Linked DNA regions of Coturnix japonica. The protein of the gene in region 1 purifies or fractionates together with the protein of each later gene. This does not show direct contact. Links are inferred from orthologs where the notes say so. Each region holds a gene or a part of one and is shown in the gene's direction. Other genes may lie near its edges.

Evidence for each region. The genes of interacting proteins can lie anywhere in the genome.
Region 2: the proteins of OSBPL8 (region 1) and GLG1 purify together in Homo sapiens (co-immunoprecipitation; 3 studies listed by BioGRID and IntAct, with this or other methods). This does not show direct contact. The link is inferred for Coturnix japonica from reciprocal best matches to the Homo sapiens genes OSBPL8 and GLG1.

Annotation. Positions count from the first base shown.
Region 1 is NC_029516.1:34,572,298-34,576,718, reverse strand, and holds the start of OSBPL8 (oxysterol-binding protein-related protein 8), read left to right. Parts: upstream 1-1,426; 5' UTR 1,427-1,552; intron 1,553-4,421. UniProt on the Homo sapiens protein: Lipid transporter involved in lipid countertransport between the endoplasmic reticulum and the plasma membrane: specifically exchanges phosphatidylserine with phosphatidylinositol 4-phosphate (PI4P), delivering phosphatidylserine to the plasma membrane in exchange for PI4P, which is degraded by the SAC1/SACM1L phosphatase in the endoplasmic reticulum.
Region 2 is NC_029526.1:834,351-838,056, forward strand, and holds part of GLG1 (Golgi apparatus protein 1), read left to right. Parts: coding exon 1-68; intron 69-880; coding exon 881-943; intron 944-1,577; coding exon 1,578-1,691; intron 1,692-2,064; coding exon 2,065-2,153; intron 2,154-2,931; coding exon 2,932-3,049; intron 3,050-3,706. UniProt on the Homo sapiens protein: Binds fibroblast growth factor and E-selectin (cell-adhesion lectin on endothelial cells mediating the binding of neutrophils).

The DNA of each region.
Region 1 (4,421 bases):
GAGAACTGGGCTTCTCCATAAAGGATTGTTGTTTTGGCATGCTGTCAGCCTCCCCTCCTAGTGCAGATTGAAATACAAGACGTGTAATGCTAAGAAGGCACTCTAAGAGATGAGTAAGAGGAGTTTACTGGTGACCTCCAGGAGAGGCAAAGAGTGCAGCATGGATTCAGCTGGTATGCTTGCTACACATAGCAGTTCCTAGCTGCCATGACTGCCCGGTGTCATGTTCCTCACACATCCGACACCGTGACTTGCCCATGGTTGTTCTGTGAGATTTCAGGCACTTTGTTGTTGTTTTGTTTGTTTGTTTTTTCTCTTTGGCATTTTGTACCTAACAGCTGAGGGGAAAAGCAACCTTCTGCAGCTGGAGATATTGCTACAGATGTACCTGAAAGAAAAAGAAGAGCTGCTGGAAGGATACTCAGCCTTTTAATTAACTCTGCCTATTTGAGGAGCAGAATGAAAAGACCGTGAGTGGAACATGGGCCGGAGATAATGGGCTCCTGGAGACACTGACACGTAATAACACTGAAAAATACATGGAGCTGAAGTTGTACTTTCCGGGCTGGAGGCATTCATCCTTTGGCAGTTTCTGTGCCACTGGTCAGCTGGGCAGCACTGGAGGCACCACATGTCTTCTGTCTGTACTGACAGCCATCCCTCTTGACATAAGTGGAAAGAGGATGCTCAGCATTTCCAAAGTTGCTCAGCAGTTTGCAGCCGCTCCCAGTTATAGCAACTGGCAGGCGATGAAAACCTGGGGTGTGCATTTGTTTTATTTTAAACATGACAACGTGATCTATGCGCTGTGGGTTTATATTACCAACACATACATGGCTAAAACTGCTACAAGAGGACACTGAACTCAGGAAATTCCACATGAAGAACTCCCTCACCGTGAAGGTGATGGAGCAGTGGAACAGGCTGCCCAGACAGACTGTGGAGAATCCTGCTATCACAGAATGACCCGGGTTGGAAGGGACCTCAAGGATCATGTAGTTCCAACCCCCCTGCCTGGCAGGGCCACCAAACATACACCTTTACTAGATCAGGTTGCCCAGGGCCCCGTCCAACCTGGTCTTGAACACCTCCAAGGACGGGGCATCCACAACCTCCCTGGGCAGCCTGTTCCAGGGCCTAACCACTCTCCTAGTACGGAGAGCCTAGTACGGGCTATGGGAGGCCTCGCCATGCGACTGCAGGGGATCCACTTGAGCAAGGACTCGATTATCTCCAGAGCTCCCTTCCAACCCCCGCTGCCCCAAAACGCTCCATCCTCTCCCCGTTAGCGGCCATTTCCCTCCCGTCCCCATGGTGACGAGCAGCTCCCACCCCCGCCCCGAGCCACCACCGACACCCTCATGACAAGGCGGCGCCTGCGCTCTCGCCATGGCGGCGGCTGCGGATGAGCGGATCAAGCGGCGACAGGGCGGGGCTGCAGCGGAGCGAGAGGGGCGGGGACGGCGCGGGGGCGGGGAGGGGTCCCGGTGCCTCTCCCGCTCCCGGCTGGGCCGAGCTGTGTCTCCCGTCCGGACCCGGCTCTGGGGACAAGGTGAGGCAGCGCTCCGCCGGGGCTGCGCGGCGGAGGGGCCGTCGGCGGGCGGTGGGGCCGCCTGCGTGGCACCGCGGTGCCGCCCGATCGGCCGGGGGTGGCGGCTGCCGCCGGGCTGCGGGTCCCGCAGGGTGCCCCACCACAGGGTGCCCCACAGGGTGCACCTGGAAGTTTTCCTAACTTCAGTCATTTAATCCGAAGTACGGGCAATACGGATCTATTGATCGCCGGTACGCAGTTGGGTCGCTGCTGGTGCTCGTTCGGTGTTTACCTGACGGTGGAAATTGTGGTAAGAGCCGTGGGTGCTGAATTGAAGCTCACGGCCGATGTCAGAGGTGGGACTGGGCACAGAGCGCAGCTCCGGACACATCTGCCTTACAGAGCGCCTGGTGCTGCTGACACCTGGTACCTCCATTCTGCTCCATTTCAGAGTTCCCTGCCAGCTGCTGAGGCTGTTTGCTGCTTGGGTATCGTGTTGGTTTTGCATCACAGCTCCTGAGCTTTGAAGCAGTTTGCTTTGTGAGCAAACAACTTTCTTAGAGCTCCTTTCTGAGCGCTAACTTAACGCAGTCTGTTTCAAAACTGAAGCACAGAGCTGCTCAGTTGTGGGCGCTGGTTTAACTGTTGGTGGGGAGTTGTGTGGGTGCTGTAAGTATAGTGAGCTGCTGAAAGAGGTGTAACTTAGAATACAACAAGCGATATATGTTTATCTTTTCCTCTGGTTAAGGGAAAGGGCCCTGTTTAAACACGCTTTCCTGTCAAATTACTGTACAATGAACTCAGAAAGTGACCGTGCAGCTCTCGTGTCTATGCACAGCACTGAACTTCTGCGTGTACTTTGTGTTCTGTGCTTGAATTGTCATCAATGTTTGTTTGAACTTGTTAACTTTTACTGTGTAAGGAACAATTTACTGAGGCTGAGGGAAAAACTATTGGGCTTGTGTACTTCTTACTGGGAAGTGAACCGGGGGGAAAGGCAGGCTGATATGCTTGTTGTTTTTCATTGTATCTTACCGTATTACCTCAGGGGTTTACTCCTAATGGAGCCGAAGTGCTGGAATTAGTAGAAAATTGAAGTTTTAGGATTGCTGTGTTTTGGAGGCGATAAATATTGTGTTGAACTGATGGATAAAAGCATGAAGGAATGCAGTACATGTAAGCATCCAGCTTTTTATTTTGCCTGTTATCATTCTTTGAAGGAAATGCTCATGCTGCCACCCAGTACAAGAACCGATGCATGCTTGTGCCCTATGGAGCTGTGCTCCAGCTCCCTCTGCCTCTGGTAAATCTTTGTGTGGAGCACTTTGCCAACATTTAATCAACTGTGCTGCTGGTTTGGCTCTCTTCCCCGGTGGCTGTCCCACCACCTGCCTCCCTATTGCGTTACACACAACTGTTCTCTGACACCTCTTGTGTAACTTTCAGAGGGGGTTTCTCCCTCGTCCCCCATGTGCTATGAAATCTCTGTCATGTCAGGCTATCTGCCAAATCATTTCTCATGTTAGTCTCGTGGGCTTTTGTTTTGGAACAGAAAATAAACTTGATATGGGGAACACATGACATCATATAGTTAACTATTCCAAATGGGCCCCCTTCCTTTATTCTATGCTCATGCTGATATTGAATTAGTAAAACTTCTCTATTTTGTTAGGCTGCCTTTCTAGTTAACTTTTATTACAAGGCATGTAGAGATAGTTACAGTCAATAGTAGTAATAGTTAACAACACATAGTTGTTTGTTGTGTGTGTCAGCAGTCTGTCTTTTAGAGTCCGAGGGATAAGGAAGATTTTTCCTGAAGGCTTTGTTTCCTTTCAGAGGGCTGCGTCTGGATTTGCTCGAGTGATTTCTTTTGCTGTTGTGTTGTGGATAAAGTTGATAACCTCTCTGTTTACTGCCAGTAGGTTTATTTCCTTCCTTCCCTCTGCTGCTACAGCTCTTCCACTAATACAGAGTGAAGGGTTTACAGCTGGAGCCACTTGAAGGGCCTCTTGCTTTCCTTGAAAAGGTATGAGCAGATATTGAGGCTAGTGTGGCTTTTACAGGTTTTTCAGATGTCAGAAGGTCTAATTGCAATCAGACAGTACAAGAAAGGTTATTTCCTATGAAAAATTAGTATTTGTTTTCACAATCTTTGGAATTAAAGGGAAAAGATGTCGTTACTTCATACACTTGCTTTGGAGCCCTGACTTAAACAATCTGCATCATTTCAGAGATGTTTTCTATAATTCAATTTCTGGTCAAGGAAATGGATTCTCTACCTAAAAAGTCAATTTAAACTCTGTAGAAGCAGCTGCTTGTGGCTTTATCTAAAAGAAGCACTTGGCCAGCTCATGGTAATAGCAAGTTGCATATATTTCCAGTAGTTTGTCTCTGTTAATTCATTATATGGTCATTTCATACTGTAGACTTGAAGGTGTTTCAGGGACTGACCTTCACCTCTAAGAGGAAGGTATATGTGCAGCACTGAACCTTATAAACTGAGGGATGTTTAGGAAACAGTTCTTGCAATAGGGTGCTGATTAACAGCAGATACATTAGTCAGATGTGTTCTGCTTAGAGTAGCTTGTTCTGGATTGTACACAGTTTGAATTCTGCAGTATTTTGCTGTGTTTGTTATAAAACAATCTTTTATTCCATCTGTACTCTACAACAGGGAAATCTGTTGCAGATGTAACGTATATGGTAGCATAAAAAAAAGCCTAGAGAACTAGAAGTGTTTGACAGATGGTAAGTGGCATTTGGAAAGTGAGATTTTCATTCTGAGGAAGTAACGTGGACTTCTGGTACAGGATGAAGAAATAAGCCTCATTTTCTTCACACTGTTAGTGGTAGATGTGAGCTTTATCTTGGTTTGCCTTTTCCCTCAGTG
Region 2 (3,706 bases), on another chromosome or scaffold:
ACCATCTTGATGACTTGGTGTCTGATTGCAGAGACATAGTGGGGAACCTGACAGAGCTGGAGTCTGAGGTGAGCAGTTCCCAGCCTGGGATGAAGGGAAGAGCAATGGGGTTAAATGTGCCATTTTGACAGTACTTGAAAAATAAAAGGGTGGCTGCAGAAACACACGTCTGGGGTTAAGCATAGAAAAACACTGCTCTCCTTTTAACCCCGTATGTTGTTGCCTTCCACGGGGAGCCCTTGAGGAACAGAACTGAGCAAGAGGTAAGGGTTGCAAGCAGGAGAAATACCATTAGCAGCCCAAAAGGGCTTATGGTAAAGAAGCTTTGTATAGGTAGCTCACCTTTAGTACAAGTCAAAATATATTCAGAGACTTTGTTTTTTTGTTCTTCTTGCAAGTAATTTTGAGTACCACATTGCAGCTTCCCTCTGGGCCCCACATAGTTTGCAAGCAATAACTGCCACAGAGGACATCCAGTTTTCTGTTGATGCCAGCAGCTCTGCTTATTTCATGAAGCTGCATGTTTGAATATCTTGTCCCAAACTTTTTCCTGTACCTCTTAGTCAAAGTTAAGCCCTAGGGTATGCTTCCTTCCAATGGTTACAAAATGGTTTGCTCACAACTATCATTAGTCTTTAATTCCTGCCTAAGTGTAGGATGCTTTCTAATGCTGGAGTTTCCAATTTGGAGGAAACTGGCTGGATTATCCAAGCAGTGAGTTGTTACCTGTGGAAACCAGGATGTTCTCTTAAGCTGGAAGGCTTGTCTTGCATTTACTGCATGGTTGGGACCATAGGCATTCCCATAACCAAAGGGTGAGGCTGTCTGGATTGTGTCTGAACAAATGATGTGAAAGTGAAACGTGGTGTGTTTTCTGCAGGACATTCAAATCGAAGCTTTGCTGATGAGAGCGTGTGAGCCCATTATCCAGACCTTCTGCCACGTGAGTACTCAGTACCAGCATCCTTGGGAAGGAGCTCTGTGGGAAAGGTTAGATCTTAATATTCTTGCCGTGCTTTCTGCGTTTCAAAGGAAAAAGCAGAAATAAGCAGTAGCAAAAGTGCTCAGTGGGGAAAAAAAACATCAACCCTCCAACAAGGCTTTGTAGCTCCGTGTAGTGCTTTTGGTGTAGCACTGAAGCTGGAGTTTGAAGATTAATATTGGCGTGTAATTGGGAGTTACTTTTCACAATTGATCGGAAATTAAACTTTATTCTTCCCTCCTGCCTCAAGCAGTGAGCTGAGCCATTCCTCTGCTCACCATGCTGAAATAGCTTCCTACATTGCTCTAGGACTGAGTAATTAACAAGCAGTGAGAGTACCTGACTTAGTAACTCAAGTGAGCGTTGCAGCTCTGCATTATGCTCTGAATTTAGAGTGTGTATACATCTGGGATGATTCTTCTCTGAGCTGTCTCTCTTAACACTCACATGGTCAGTGTATGGGGAGTATGTGCTCACAAAAGAGATGTGTAAACCCCCTTGTTCTCAGTTACTTGTGGGTGCACTGGGCTAAAAGAGCATGAAAACCCCATCTTGTAAGGGTAGCTCATTTCTAAGCCTTTTGTCTGTCCTGCAGGAGGTTGCAGATAACCAGATTGATTCCGGGGACCTGATGGAGTGTTTGATACAGAACAAACACCAGAAGGAAATGAATGAAAAATGTGCAATCGGAGTTACTCACTTCCAGCTGGTAAGCAGCGCTTTTCTATCGGTGGAAACTGGTTGCATTTGAGGGTGTTGGCAGGAATGAGCTAATTAGGAAACCCTTTCCTTTTTTAATATTGCTTTCCAACAATACTGAGGTTTGCCTTTGTGAATTCAGATGGTTGTGCTTGTGTGCCTGGGCATTGGTGGTCACTTCTGGAATGGTTTCTTCTCCAAACCTCCTCCCCCTGGCATGTGGTGTGGGGCGAGGTCCTTGTTTCTTCAGTGGGGCAGCATCCCTGTGACATCCATGAGAATAAGTTTTGGCCAGAAGAGTTTGCTAATTGCTTCACTTGAGTGTTCTTTCACGACTGTTCTCCAGGTGACCAACATCTCTCAGTTCTTTTCGTTTCTTGCAGGTTCAAATGAAAGACTTCAGGTTCTCCTACAAGTTCAAAATGGCCTGCAAGGAGGATGTGCTGAAACTTTGCCCCAACATCAAAAAAAAGTATGTTGTGCCGCAGCAGGCAGCAGCTTAACTGTGTGGATGTGGCAGAAAGTTGCGTGCAAAGGTTTTACAGGGCAGGACAGAAAGCTGTGTGCAGGGTCATCAACCAGCAGCCCAGGCTGCCCAGAGCCACATCCAGCCTGGCCTTGAATGCCTGCAGGGATGGGGCATCCACAGCCTCCTTGGGCAGCCTGTTCCAGTGCGTCACCACCCTCTGGGTGAAAAACTTCCTCCTAATACCCAACCTAAACCTCCCCTGGCTCAGTTTAAGTCCATTCCCCCTTGTCCTATCACTGCCCACCCTCACAAACAGCCGTTCTCCCTCCTGTTTATTCACTCCCTTCAAGTACTGGATGCCCACAATGAGGTCTCCCTGCAGCCTTCTCTTCTCCAAGGTAAACAAGCCCAGTTCCCTCAACCTTTCCTCATAATAGAGGTGCTCCAGCCCTCTGATCATCATATAGGTAGATATATCTACCTTTGTGTATTTCTGAGGTTAATGGTTGTAGTTTGGCTTTTCTGAGATGCTCAGTGGCTTGAAGAGCACAGGTCTTGCTGGCCAGGAGCTTTGTTGGGATGTTCAGTATATTACTGTATCTGTTGGTTTAGTCTGCCATTAGATATCATCAGATTTAGGGGCTTTAATTGTGATCCCATTACTCCACACAGAGGTGTCCCAATAGACACGTAGATATGTAGATCCTTGGGGTTCATTTCTCAGTTGTGGCTGAGCAAAGTGAAGTATACGTGGGTTAAAAACCTTTCTTCTTTTCTGCAGGGTGGATGTTGTGATCTGTCTGAGCACAACGGTGCGCAATGACACTCTGCAGGACGCCAAGGAGCACAGGGTATCTCTGAAGTGCCGCAAGCAGCTGCGTGTGGAGGAGCTAGAAATGGTAAACACGTGAAACTCATGCTCTGCTTGCTTTTCTAGGAAGGTCTTTCAGTCCCAGCTTCCTGGTTTGTCCACCCTGGAGGAGTTAAAAATGAAGCTCGTTTGTACGGTGTATCTCATTTATTGTTTCCTCTGTTCCTACAACACCGAGCTCAATTGGCCTTGGCAGTGAAAAGTAACGACTGTCCGCCTCAGTGCCTTCTCTTGTAGGCTGGTGAAGGCTGGGAAAACTAAGTGGTCACTGGAATTACAGTGTGAAGTGATGATGTTGAATGTTCAACAGCAGCATGCTGCATGTGCCTGCATCCTTACAAGTCCTCTTGAAGCGAGTATGAGCTTCATTTTACAGACTGAGGGGAGGAGAACAGATGAGCTGTCTTGAATCCAGCTGCTCTAAGCTGCTGTGTGTATAATGAGGGGTAGCATGCAAAGCCACCTCTGAACTTTCTGCTGCAGTACTGACAGCAACAAGCTCTTTGATCAGGCATTGCTAAAAGCAGGAAGCTCCATTTGCATCCTTTAGGTCACCCAGCAGATGTATGGATGCAGAGTGGTCCTCAGCTTTCACCTGAGCTGTTAGCTCAGCCCTTTGTGTCAATGCCCTTCTATAGGAGGAACATGGGAAACAACTTCTTACCTCTAGCGTTGTATTTTAAAC